2 linked regions of the Caenorhabditis elegans genome follow. The protein of the gene in region 1 purifies or fractionates together with the protein of each later gene. This does not show direct contact. Each region holds a gene or a part of one and is shown on either strand. Other genes may lie near its edges. The genes, in order: rmh-1 and dbd-18.

Region 1 (6,328 bases):
TTGAAATTGAGTGAAGTGAAATAAAATTTCAACATCTAAAAATTGAGGGAAAATAGAAAGGAATCGAAACGTTCTGATAAGGCATATGTTGAAAATTACATCGAAGTATAATTCTTCAATAAAAAGACATCTGAGACGGCATTCAGAGGATTATTATGCGTGTAAGTTCCGCGTTTCAATAAAAATGTACTTTGCTGTTTTGAAACTATTATATGACTTCTTTTCTAGTTGCCCTTAACCTAAAGAATTCGTATTCCGTTAGTATTACAGAGCGGCGTAAGTGTTTGGACACCGTAAAAAATATTGTATACATCAAAAACTGCAATAATTTTCTGACCAAAATTATTACTATCGATCAAAACTCAACGGGTATAATAAGAAACCGACGCTGAAGACTACTGATAATTGATTTTATTTCTGTTTTTGAAAGTTATCGCAACGACAAATTTCACACTATCAGATGGTTGGAGAAAACTCAAATTATTTTATTGCTTATCGCGGCAAATTTATACCTTTAGCAAACATCGAATGGAAATACCTACGCTAGTTTTTCCAAAGCTAATTCTGAAATTTCCGTTTTCAAAAACCTAACTAGATGAAGCTCGAGAACCGTTTAGAAGTAAGAATCGATACCAAACAAATTAGATCGTAATGCGGGTGATGAAGAGAATTATTTACTTTGCCGACTTTCGGTTTATTATAAGAACACTTCTCTTTACAGGCTGACACAAAATAACAGATTTGGGGACATAAAAACATGCAGGAAACGGGGATCTAGAATTCTGTGCTATATAAATAAGTACAAAAGATTCAGGAACACAAAGCAATGAAATTTAGATCTGAGCATCAATCAACTGAGCACCAAGGCCAGCATCGTCGAGAGCAGAATCGCAACGATCGATCTTGGAGAGTCCAGCTTCCTCAGAGATGATCTTGGTGCAGGATTTCGAGTCCGGAGAAGCAGTTTCGGAAGAGGTCCCGAGAGATTCAGTAGTAGCAGAAGAGTCGGCAGCATCACCTGCTCCCTTCTGGTCCTTCTGTTTGCGGTTTTTATTCTTACGCTGCTTTCTTTGCTTCTTTTTCTCCATTGCTACTGCCGGAGCCTCGACAAGCTTTTCAGTTTCCTTTGAATCAAAATCCTCTCCAACAACGATTTTCGGTTTACGATTCTTACGGAAGCGAGAGAGAAGCTGATGGCGATATCTAAAGTAACTAGTTTTCCAACTTTACTTGTCAATCAATAACTCACTTCGATCCAGAAACATTCACCCCGGCTGGTCCGGTGACATTTGCAGCCTCAGGTCCATTCTTACCATCGACCAGATCGAAGAGCACTTCCTCCTCATCGGCAAGTGTCCGAAGGTAAAATTTCTCAGTGTCCGATTTGGAAATAGCTGTTTGGTGAACGAAGACATCCTTCTCTCCATCACTACGGGAAATGAACCCATAGCGACGAAGTACAGAGTACCACTTCACCTTTCCTTGAAGTCCAGCGGTAAGAACAATCTTCGCCTTCTGCTCCTCCTCCCAAATGCGTATGCGCTCGGCAGCTGGCAGACGCTAAAAATCATAAAATTGTAAATGTTGTACATTAGCACGTCATGCATCATAAAGAAAACGAACTACTTCAAAACAGTCAATGGTAGTTCCCAAAGAAGTGAGTTTTAAAAAAACTTACATGCTTGCTTGTATCATCCTTGCTTGGCGATCTTTTCTTGCCGATGGAGAGATCGTCGAGTTTCTTTTCGATGACTTGCTCATCTACTTCGACAGCAGTATTCGCAGTGTCCGACATTTTCGCCGTAGTTGCTCTTAGCACTTGAGGTACTGAAAAACAAGACTACATTGAGTGACTGAAGCTTCAAGGGTCGACGGCGTGCAGAAGAAAAGAAAAAAGTCGAAAAATGACAGATTAAGTGATAAACGCTCGCGGGCCTGTGGTCCCGTACGACCGTAACCAGCGTACCTGCACATCAAACATTTGGCGGCGCTTCAAGGTTTTAAACGCATTTCTTACATTTTTTTGTTAACAAATTTGTTTTCTTATTCAATGTTACACACATTTTCATTATTTTTTGTTGGTATTTGCAGAGCGAACGCATATAAAAACTACAAAATATATGAAAGAAACTGAACTTGATCGTCTTTTCTCTTGGCTTGCTAGGAAACATTACCCATTCAAGAGAGAATGGCTAAGAATATGCGTCCAGTATATCGAAGGATCACTCGGACAAAGAATTAAAACTGTTGATGTGAAGCAGATTGGTGAACTTGTCATACAACAGTTTTTGAATTCAAAAATATCCGAAGCTTTGGATCCCACCATGAAAATCCCAACGAGCGCAGTAAAAGTTGTCATTGTTAAAAGAATGATTTTCCAGGTTATTAGTTTGAAGATCTGCCGAAAATCAACAGGAATATTTTTAGGTTATTTCCTCCACGAATATATCAACATCCTTGTACGAGCAATTGTCAGAATGTACTCGACACAACGAAGATTTGGCTTGGTTTCATGGCGGATCCAAAGCTGATCACGAAGAAGAAAATCGCGACAAAGAAAAAGATGTGGCCTCTGATCGCATGAATCATACGCAGACGAAAAATGCAATTAAGAAACGAGGAATGCTGAAAATTGAGCTCACCGATGGTGTGAATACTTTGAAAGCAATCGAGTTAGACGAAGTATTTGATGAAAAAATTATGCTACCCGGTGCAAAGATTATTCTCACAGGAAAAGTTAAATGTCGTCGTGGAAATCTTCTACTGGATAAATCTAATTGTGCTTTTCTGGGCGGCCGAGTGGAATCACTAAGTTTTGATAAAGTGGCACAATTATCAAATGCATTGAAGGTTGACTTAGACGCGGAGAAGAAACGAAGAAAGTAAGTTATCACTTAGATACATTAGAAATCAGACATCATCTTAGCTTGATTTAATTCTTCTAGTAAATTCAATTTTCAGAGCATCTCTGGAAAACGCTGCTGCTTCTGTATCACGAAATAACAAGAAACAAATAGACAAGAAAAATCTTTCCCTTAATCAATCATCGCTTTCTCCATTTTTAGTCAAAACAAGTCGAATAACGGGAGAGGTCACTGTAAGTATTTAATCTAGTTCCACTACACTTCTTTCAATGGCTTAAAAACAGTTCTGAAAATTACAGGTTCCGGTGAAACAGTCTTTGGTGCCTACTGCGTCACGTATTCTACCATCTTCCGTAGCAGTTATTCCCAGCATTCAAATAGAGAAACCAACAGATCCTATTGAAAATTGGGATTTTTCAATCGAAGAAGTTCCGCAAGAACCAACTCCAGAACCACCAAGTCATCATGTACGGGGCCTTGTTGAACATTATCCATTGCGTTCAAAACCACAAGATCCGCTCCCACCACCTCCAACGAAGCGTTTATCTTCATTAATAATTGATAAAAATTCGATTTCAAAAGTGTCCCAAAACATTTCAAATCAGGTCGAGAAAGGTCTACTGCAAAACAAGACGATCGAAGATTGGACTTTCAATTCGACAAATTCCTTTGACAAATCTAAAAAAGTTATGTCTATTGATAACTCTAAAGATCAAAAAATGAAAATCAAGGAACTTCCTGGACAACTAATACGACCGACTCCAATCGAAAAACCTATAATCGGTGATCCTAGAATGAACAGTGAGAAACGTAAGTTAAAACAGAATAAAATATAAAAACCTTTCAGCTATAATATGATCCTCTTAACAACAACTATACCACAAAAGTTTCAGTAAAAGTTTTCCAGGCAAAGATGTTTCCGTATGGGTTTGGGAAGATCGGAAAGGATCAGAAGAGGAAGACATTGCGGCGAAAAGGATCAAAAAGATAGATTCAGTTATGGAGATTCCATTATGTTTTGTGAAGGAAACAACTCGCCAAGCGAATCGAAGTAATGAAGAGAGTCGTCATAAATTAAATACATTTGCGCAAACAATTCATGGTCCTCGTAGCAAGATTGACGATTTTCGAGTCAAATCGAACAATGTTCCCGTTTTCAAACAAATTACAGATCACTTTATAACTGTGAAAAGTAATCCTAATTCATTCACATCTTCTACGCGTCATACACCACCTCAAATGCCGAAAGTAGTCGATTTTGGGAATTTTGAAGATTATGATGAAGATTATGAAGATGAAGTTCTGCCAACATCTTCGTTCCGAGATCAATTAAAACAAAGAAAAAGTCTAGATAATCATGGAGAAGATGTAGTCTTAGAAGAAGAAATGGATCATGTAGATCACGATGAATCTATAAGTGAGTTGTTTTTTAATTTATCGGAAAATTTAACTGATAATCTCGTGATATTCAAAAAAATATTTATATTCAGTTGAATGTACAATGGATCATGAGGGACGTTTGGAATGCGAACGATGGGGATTGCGTGGAAGGGAATCGAATATTATTGAGGATGATAAACGGAATGTTTACAATGGATATAATATGAATAATAATATAGAACGTGACAATAAATACGGTAAGCTATAACTGTCTTAATCAATCATCTGACATTTTGGAAAAATTTCAGATTCTTCAATGAATGGAATGCCCCAGCCAAATCTCCAGCATCCTCTGTCAATTCTTCCTCCTCCACCAGTCATTCCTCCTTCACAGAATTGGAATTATACAGGATACTACCAAGCTCCGCCACTTAGGAATGTAATAAAAAGCGAGACGGTGGATTCTGTTGTACCGGAGGACCAGAAAATGGTTGGAGCTCAGGGAAAGAAGAGACCAAATGTAAGACAAGAAAATGATAATATGAAAAACAAACAATCGGCGAATGTTCAAGTTTATAGGACACCTTTTGCTGAAAGGGTTTGTTTTTTTTTTCAGAAAAATCAAAATTATTTTCAAAAAAAGAGGTTTATTCTAGTTGAACAGTGGCGATTCATCTTCAAAATTGTCGCCCCAATTATTCCAACGAATGGCTGATCTGCAAATCGTACCATTCGGCGATGCACTATTTAATCGAAAATTCTGGATGATGTCAAAAATTGTAGTCATTATGGTAATAGCTGATATTCTGTACGAAGTAACAAAAATTCTAACATTTTCTCACATTTCAGCCAAGTATCTGCAGTCAAATACACGAGTTACAATCTGATGGCATCGATTGGCTACTACAGGTATATTGTCCAAATAATTCATTTCTAAATACTTTATTTTCCAGATACGAGTAACAGATACATCAGTAAAAAATGTTATCTGCCGCGTTTCCACGAGCCTTCTAAATCGAATTTTTGGATTTGATGTTCAACAGTGCAAGGTTACAAAATTAATGTGCTATTCGTAAACCTTTTTTTTTCAGAATTTATTCAACAAAAATCAAGTCGAGGAGCTACGTGCGAAGAAATGCGAAGCCGAACGTAAACTTCTTGGATTCAAACGTCTTGATCTTCTTTTATGGGTTGAGGTTTCACCAGAGCGTAACCAAATTCCGCTCATTCTTGACGTGAAAACGATTTCTGATGCTCTCAATATTTTGTAATTATTTCTATTGCTTGCTACCTGAATTCACGTGTACCACAATATAGTCATGTATTATTTAATTGTTCTTGTTTTTTTGTTGTTTCCAAATACAATACAACTGTTTTAAGCTTTTTCTTTCGTTAAAATTTCTTTAAAACAGAAATGTAACAAAAAACATAAATTTAAACAAACTGTATGGAAAACTGTACAGTTTTCGATACAACGAGAGTTTGAAACTACAGTACTCTTTAAAGGGTCATGCCATTTTCGAATTCATCAAAAGTTCGTCGGGTCGAGACATACATACTACAGTAAGAAATGTAATATTCTCATAAAGCTCAAAACAATGTATTTATAACCCAATCAACAGCATTTAGACCGGACTATATTTTTCCTATCGGGATCTCCCTTTGTTTTGAAACAGACGATTAAAACTCAAAAAACGCAAAGTAAAATTGAAATTCGTTCATTTTGTTAATGATCGAAATATTTAGGTTACATCAGTATAAAAGGTTTGCATAAGGCAATAAAAATAACGTTATTTTACATGAAATGTTAGAATAGAATTATATGTCTAGTTCATAGACATCTGGGACACGTCACCCAAGAGAGTCCGTTGCTGCACGGCCGATCCGATGTTAGTACTGCGCATCTTTGAGGCGAATTCGATGCTTCTCTTGGACTCTGTCGCTTGCTCGTTGCATGGATTGAGATTGACCACAACCATAGTCTTCGAGTTGCCACGTCCCAAGCAGTCCATCAGCACTTGTGTCAGTTTGCTGTCGCGATATGAAACATGTCCCTTCTGGGATCTTTGCTGGCTGATGCACAT
Region 2 (4,816 bases), on another chromosome or scaffold:
AATATAAGCAACCAAAAATAATTTCCAAGTTTTTGATGATTTGTTGCATATTGAAAAAAACATTTTTCGGGTTTTTTGAAATGAATATCGTAGCTACAGAAACGGTAGTACACTCTTCTTCTGAAAATACAAAAAATTTGCAATTTTTATAGCTAGGACACTTTTTGTCTGCCCAAATATAAGCAACCAAAAATAATTTCCAAGTTTTTAATGATTTGTTGCATATTGAAAAAAACATTTTTCGGGTTTTTTGAAATGAATATCGTAGCTACAGAAACGGATACAGAAACGAAACGAAAACCATATCAATTCCCCCAAAAATCCAAAAATTTTTTTTGCAAAAAAGTGCAGTCATATGCTTGTTGAAATTGGAATTCAAGACAAAAACCCCTGTAGCGCGGCTGGGATGGAATATCTAGGTTCCAGAAATGTACCCCTGATATTAAAAAAAATTAGCAATTTTTTACCATATCAATTCCCCAAAAAATCCAAATTTTTTTTTTGCAAAAAAGTGCAGTCATATGCCTGTTGAAATTGGAATTCAAAAATTAGGTCCTCGGTGACTGCGACAAAAATGTTTGTTTGTTTTTTCTGGGCGTGTTTTTTTTCCTTTTTTTTTTGGGATGAAAAAATTCGCAAAAAATTTTCCTCCCGTACAATCGACAATTCATTCAAACCAATTAGTTTTGAACTCTCCTGTGAATGCTACAAAAAACTATATTTATTCTTCATTTGGCTTCTCACTAGTTCTCGCGATTCTCTTTGATCGAGAAATGTAATTTGTTGCTTGGAACAGAAAAGTGGAAAAGGGTAATACATGGCCTCTTTTCCTGTGTCTTTTTCCGCCGATTTCGTGAACATTAATTTACCCGCAACCGTTTGATGCGCCGTTTGCCCTAATTTTCCGTTTCTTGACTGTTACTCAATGAACAGATTGAATTCTCTCTCTCTCTCTCTTTCTTTTTTCACTTCTTAATTATTGTTTGCTATCCAACACCTACTTTTGTTTTTGTATTTGATGTTCTTTATTCTTGTTACTTTAAATTTGAAAAAAAAACGAATTTTTAAAAAATAGGGTTTGTCAATTTGTACAAGGAAACGGAATTTTTTCGTTCAAAGTTTCAAAACAAGACGTATGCCCATCAGATTATTTTGTTTAAACGAGCTTACGCAAAACACTTTTAGCTGTAAAGCTCCTACTTCAAAAATTTTAATTTCAACTTGAAAAAAGTTCAGCACATTTTCCCCAACTACCGAAATCTGAAAAATTGCGCCAAAAGTCGTTTCTTATACATTTGAAGTTTTCAGAACGTTTTAAATTGGCAAACATTCGGGAACTGTATTGATGGTGCTTATTATCCTCAAAGTTGGACTAGTGCCAGCGGGGAAATTGTTTTAAAACATGCCTATGGTACCCCAATGACCAAATATCATAGTAAAAAAAATTTTTTTTTAATTTTTGCTAAATTTTTATATGATTTTTTGAAAGTTGAAAAAATCTCGAATTGCATCAAATTCCCACTTGAATTGCCGCCAATAGTTCGATGTTCAATGGAGTGCGCTTGCCATATTTTTATCAATTTTTCTCATTTATGTCTGAATTTTAATTTTTTTTTTCGTGTAATTTTAGTGAAAATTTAGTGAAAAATTCAAGATAAATGTAAATTCTTTATCAAAAAGAGGACAGTGAAGCGTAAACCTGTGCAATTGATTGTTTCAGGCTCGACGTCGTTGGAATACGTTCTTTCTTTGTTTTTCAATTGTTTTCAATGCACAATATACATTTGTGTTGAATTTTTCACTAAATTTCTACTTAGATTACACGAAAAACATCAAAAATCTGTCAAAAATGAGAAAAATTTATTTAAAAAAATGTATATTTCAAGCACACTCCATCGAACATTGAACTATTGGCGGTAATTCAAATGGGAATTTGATGTAATTCGGGTTTTTTTCAACTTTCAAAAAATCATATAAAATTTAGACTAATTTTTTAAATTTTTTTTACTATGATATTTGGTCATTGTGTTACCATAGGCATGCCTTAAAGTAATTTTCCCACTGGCGCTACTCCACCTTTAAGCCCAGATTCTCTGAAAAATTAGAACATTTTTTGACTAAATCATTTTGAATGGTCAAAAGATGTAAATTTCAAACATTTTTTATAACCTATTTTCAAGATTATTTTTCAATTGACACAACTTGTAAATCTTGCAGCTCTTGGTATCAGAATGCGTCTTCTATCGTCTTCATTGCTTGTCTTGTTTCTTACTCAGTTTGTATCGTCCGAAAAAAAATGTCCGGCTGTGAAAAAAGGTAACCTGAACGAAGTAAACGTTTAGGTATAAAATTGATTGCGCAAAAATCTCTTAAAATCAATTGTTGTAAAAACAAAATCATGAAAATTGACTAGTGAGTTTTTATCGCTTTTTGACTTGAAATAAAACATTTTCAAAAATCGTTTGAAACGTTTTATTAGTCATTTTAGCAACATTGAAATAGGTTTTGAAAATGTACCAAATGTCGTGCTTAACCTTTACAATAACTCAAAATTAAGGCCCGTTCACTCAAGTTCCCATAATATATCTGGAATGGAAAAAAATACAACATTTCTTAGTGAGTCTACAACAGGGCTAGCAAATTGGACGAATTGGGTATAAAACGCGTCCCGTTGTCCGGTTTTAACCCGATTCGCCATATTCTACACATATATATATATATATATATATATATATATATATATATATATATATATATATATATATATATATATATATCAGCTTTGCTCTATGTTAATACATGCGTACAAAAAACATTGGTTTTCAGGGGCTTGCTGCACAGCACCTATCACCCCAGGATGTCGACTTCCCCGACAATGTTATAAATACATAATGTCAAACTGTCCAGACAGAAAAATTGCAGTTTTTTCCAGAAAAGTTGGAAATGATCGCCGCTCTGCTCCGAGAAAACCGTTGGTCAGTTTTATTTTGTACTGATATAATTGTTTGAGCCCAAGCTAATTATCTTAAGCTCGAGCATTTGGGCTCGAGCTCTAGCATCTCGGCAGCAGCATTTGGGCTCCTAATATTTCAGCTCTGAGGTTAAAAAAATACATGATTTCCATTAGTACTGTTCCAAAACAATTGTTTGATAATTAAGGGCAAATGTGGAACATCGGAGGTAAACTATCAACCATGCACTTCCAAGGGAATTGCGAACAAACTCTTTTTGTCGTGCTGTCAATTGTATGTTCCAGAAGAATGCCATCACATGTGTGTGTACGAAACTGATCAGTCGGTTACTAGAAATATGGTAAGTGTCCAAAGTAAATTCAAAATAGTAAGTTGCCTAACGTTATAAATGACAATAAAACAATTGTGTTGTGAGTACCTCTTTTATATTTCCAAAAACAAACTTTTTGCAGCTGACCAACATGCGGAAAGATAGCCAGTGCCGAATTAAACACCTGTCGTCAATTTTGTACTGTGCCAGCCAGAACAGAGATAATAGGAAATGCTGCTTGGATTTAGATCTCAATGCCCCTCAACTTCAGGTATATAAATAACTTGGAAGATTTTTTTGGAAAGAGTTTTCTATGGTGTGTAATTAATTGGTTATATCTCAAAAACCGGTAAAATATACATGTAAGGTTGTATATGCGCTTCTCAAAACACTGTTTTGCCTCACTGGTTCAGGTTATTAAGAAAACTGCTCCTATGAAAACTTCTCAGTCTCAAGTTACAGATGTTCCAAAAAGAATTGACAAAAATGAGCTCGCAAGGTGTCGGGCGTTGTATCTCTTGACTTTAATGTTTTGAAACGTTGAAACATGTGTGTTAAGATGTAGATCACATATTGGGCAACAGTTAATCAGTTCAACTTTTCTTTCAAAATTTCCTAACTTGAGGTATACTCATTTGAAAACTATGGCAAATTAGCGCGGCGCGGAACCCAGATAGTGTTGGCTGCGTGGGGCGCCGTATCATGGAAACCCGTTTATGTCAACTAATGATAATAAAAACTTAGGTTGGATCTCGTTGCTTGCGAATGTGTGATCCATCGGGTACTTCAATCGATAGAATAACCAAGGAAGATGTGACTTGCCTGTATAATTGGAATGTTATTATGTACTGTCATCATGCCGGAATACGCGAAATGTAACTCAACCACTTCATTTATTTATCTTTTTTAAGTTCACCCTTCAGCATACCAAAGGTTACATTTTTGCAGCAGTGCACTTATAATGTTGATAATAATAAAATATTAATTGGAATATGATGTTTGTTATCTTATCAGGCAATAGTCGACATTGATAAAAATTGGAAGATTGCTTTCAAATTGATTTTTTTTTCCAATTATTTTACTTTTTGAAACATTTCATTTTACAATTCTATTGTTCCTTGAGAAAAAAACGTCATAAGTTTTGATTTTTTGCAATGCGTTCAGTTATTTTCTGAACGAAACGTATTTCATTTGAAAGGACTTCTTCTCAATAGTCCACTACAAATAATTTTTATGCATATTCAGGTCAAATGTTTATTTTATGAAGTTTCATAGACATGGAGACATTTTTATATCTTTCAAGACAGCCTTTCAAAAAATTAGTGAAATTGTTTAATCAAGTCCATTAAAAATGTTAAATAAGTAAAATGTTTGTCGAATTTTTTGAATGTTTTTTTTGAGTTACTGGAGAATGAATCAAATGATTTAAAGTGGTCGTTTTTTACAGTAAAAAAGTATTATATTTTGAATGACTAATGTATTTATTTGATAATATAATTTCTTTCAGTAAGATACTTTATGTGTCCTATGCCTT

The links.
Region 2: the proteins of rmh-1 (region 1) and dbd-18 fractionate together in Caenorhabditis elegans (co-fractionation; one large-scale study listed by BioGRID). This does not show direct contact.

The regions. Positions count from the first base shown.
Region 1 is NC_003279.8:5,571,123-5,577,450, forward strand, and holds rmh-1 (RecQ-mediated genome instability protein 1 homolog), read left to right. Parts: upstream 1-2,091; 5' UTR 2,092-2,120; coding exon 2,121-2,381; intron 2,382-2,427; coding exon 2,428-2,882; intron 2,883-2,961; coding exon 2,962-3,097; intron 3,098-3,163; coding exon 3,164-3,674; intron 3,675-3,771; coding exon 3,772-4,281; intron 4,282-4,354; coding exon 4,355-4,501; intron 4,502-4,552; coding exon 4,553-4,842; intron 4,843-4,900; coding exon 4,901-5,035; intron 5,036-5,093; coding exon 5,094-5,153; intron 5,154-5,197; coding exon 5,198-5,293; intron 5,294-5,335; coding exon 5,336-5,515; 3' UTR 5,516-5,627; downstream 5,628-6,328. Other genes in the region: cey-3 (CSD domain-containing protein), read right to left, coding at 834-1,203, 1,250-1,560, 1,679-1,795; klp-15 (Kinesin motor domain-containing protein), read right to left, coding at 6,071-6,328.
Region 2 is NC_003284.9:295,017-299,832, forward strand, and holds dbd-18 (DB domain-containing protein), read left to right. Parts: upstream 1-2,217; 5' UTR 2,218-2,231; coding exon 2,232-2,316; intron 2,317-2,826; coding exon 2,827-2,975; intron 2,976-3,159; coding exon 3,160-3,312; intron 3,313-3,424; coding exon 3,425-3,553; intron 3,554-4,026; coding exon 4,027-4,161; 3' UTR 4,162-4,271; downstream 4,272-4,816.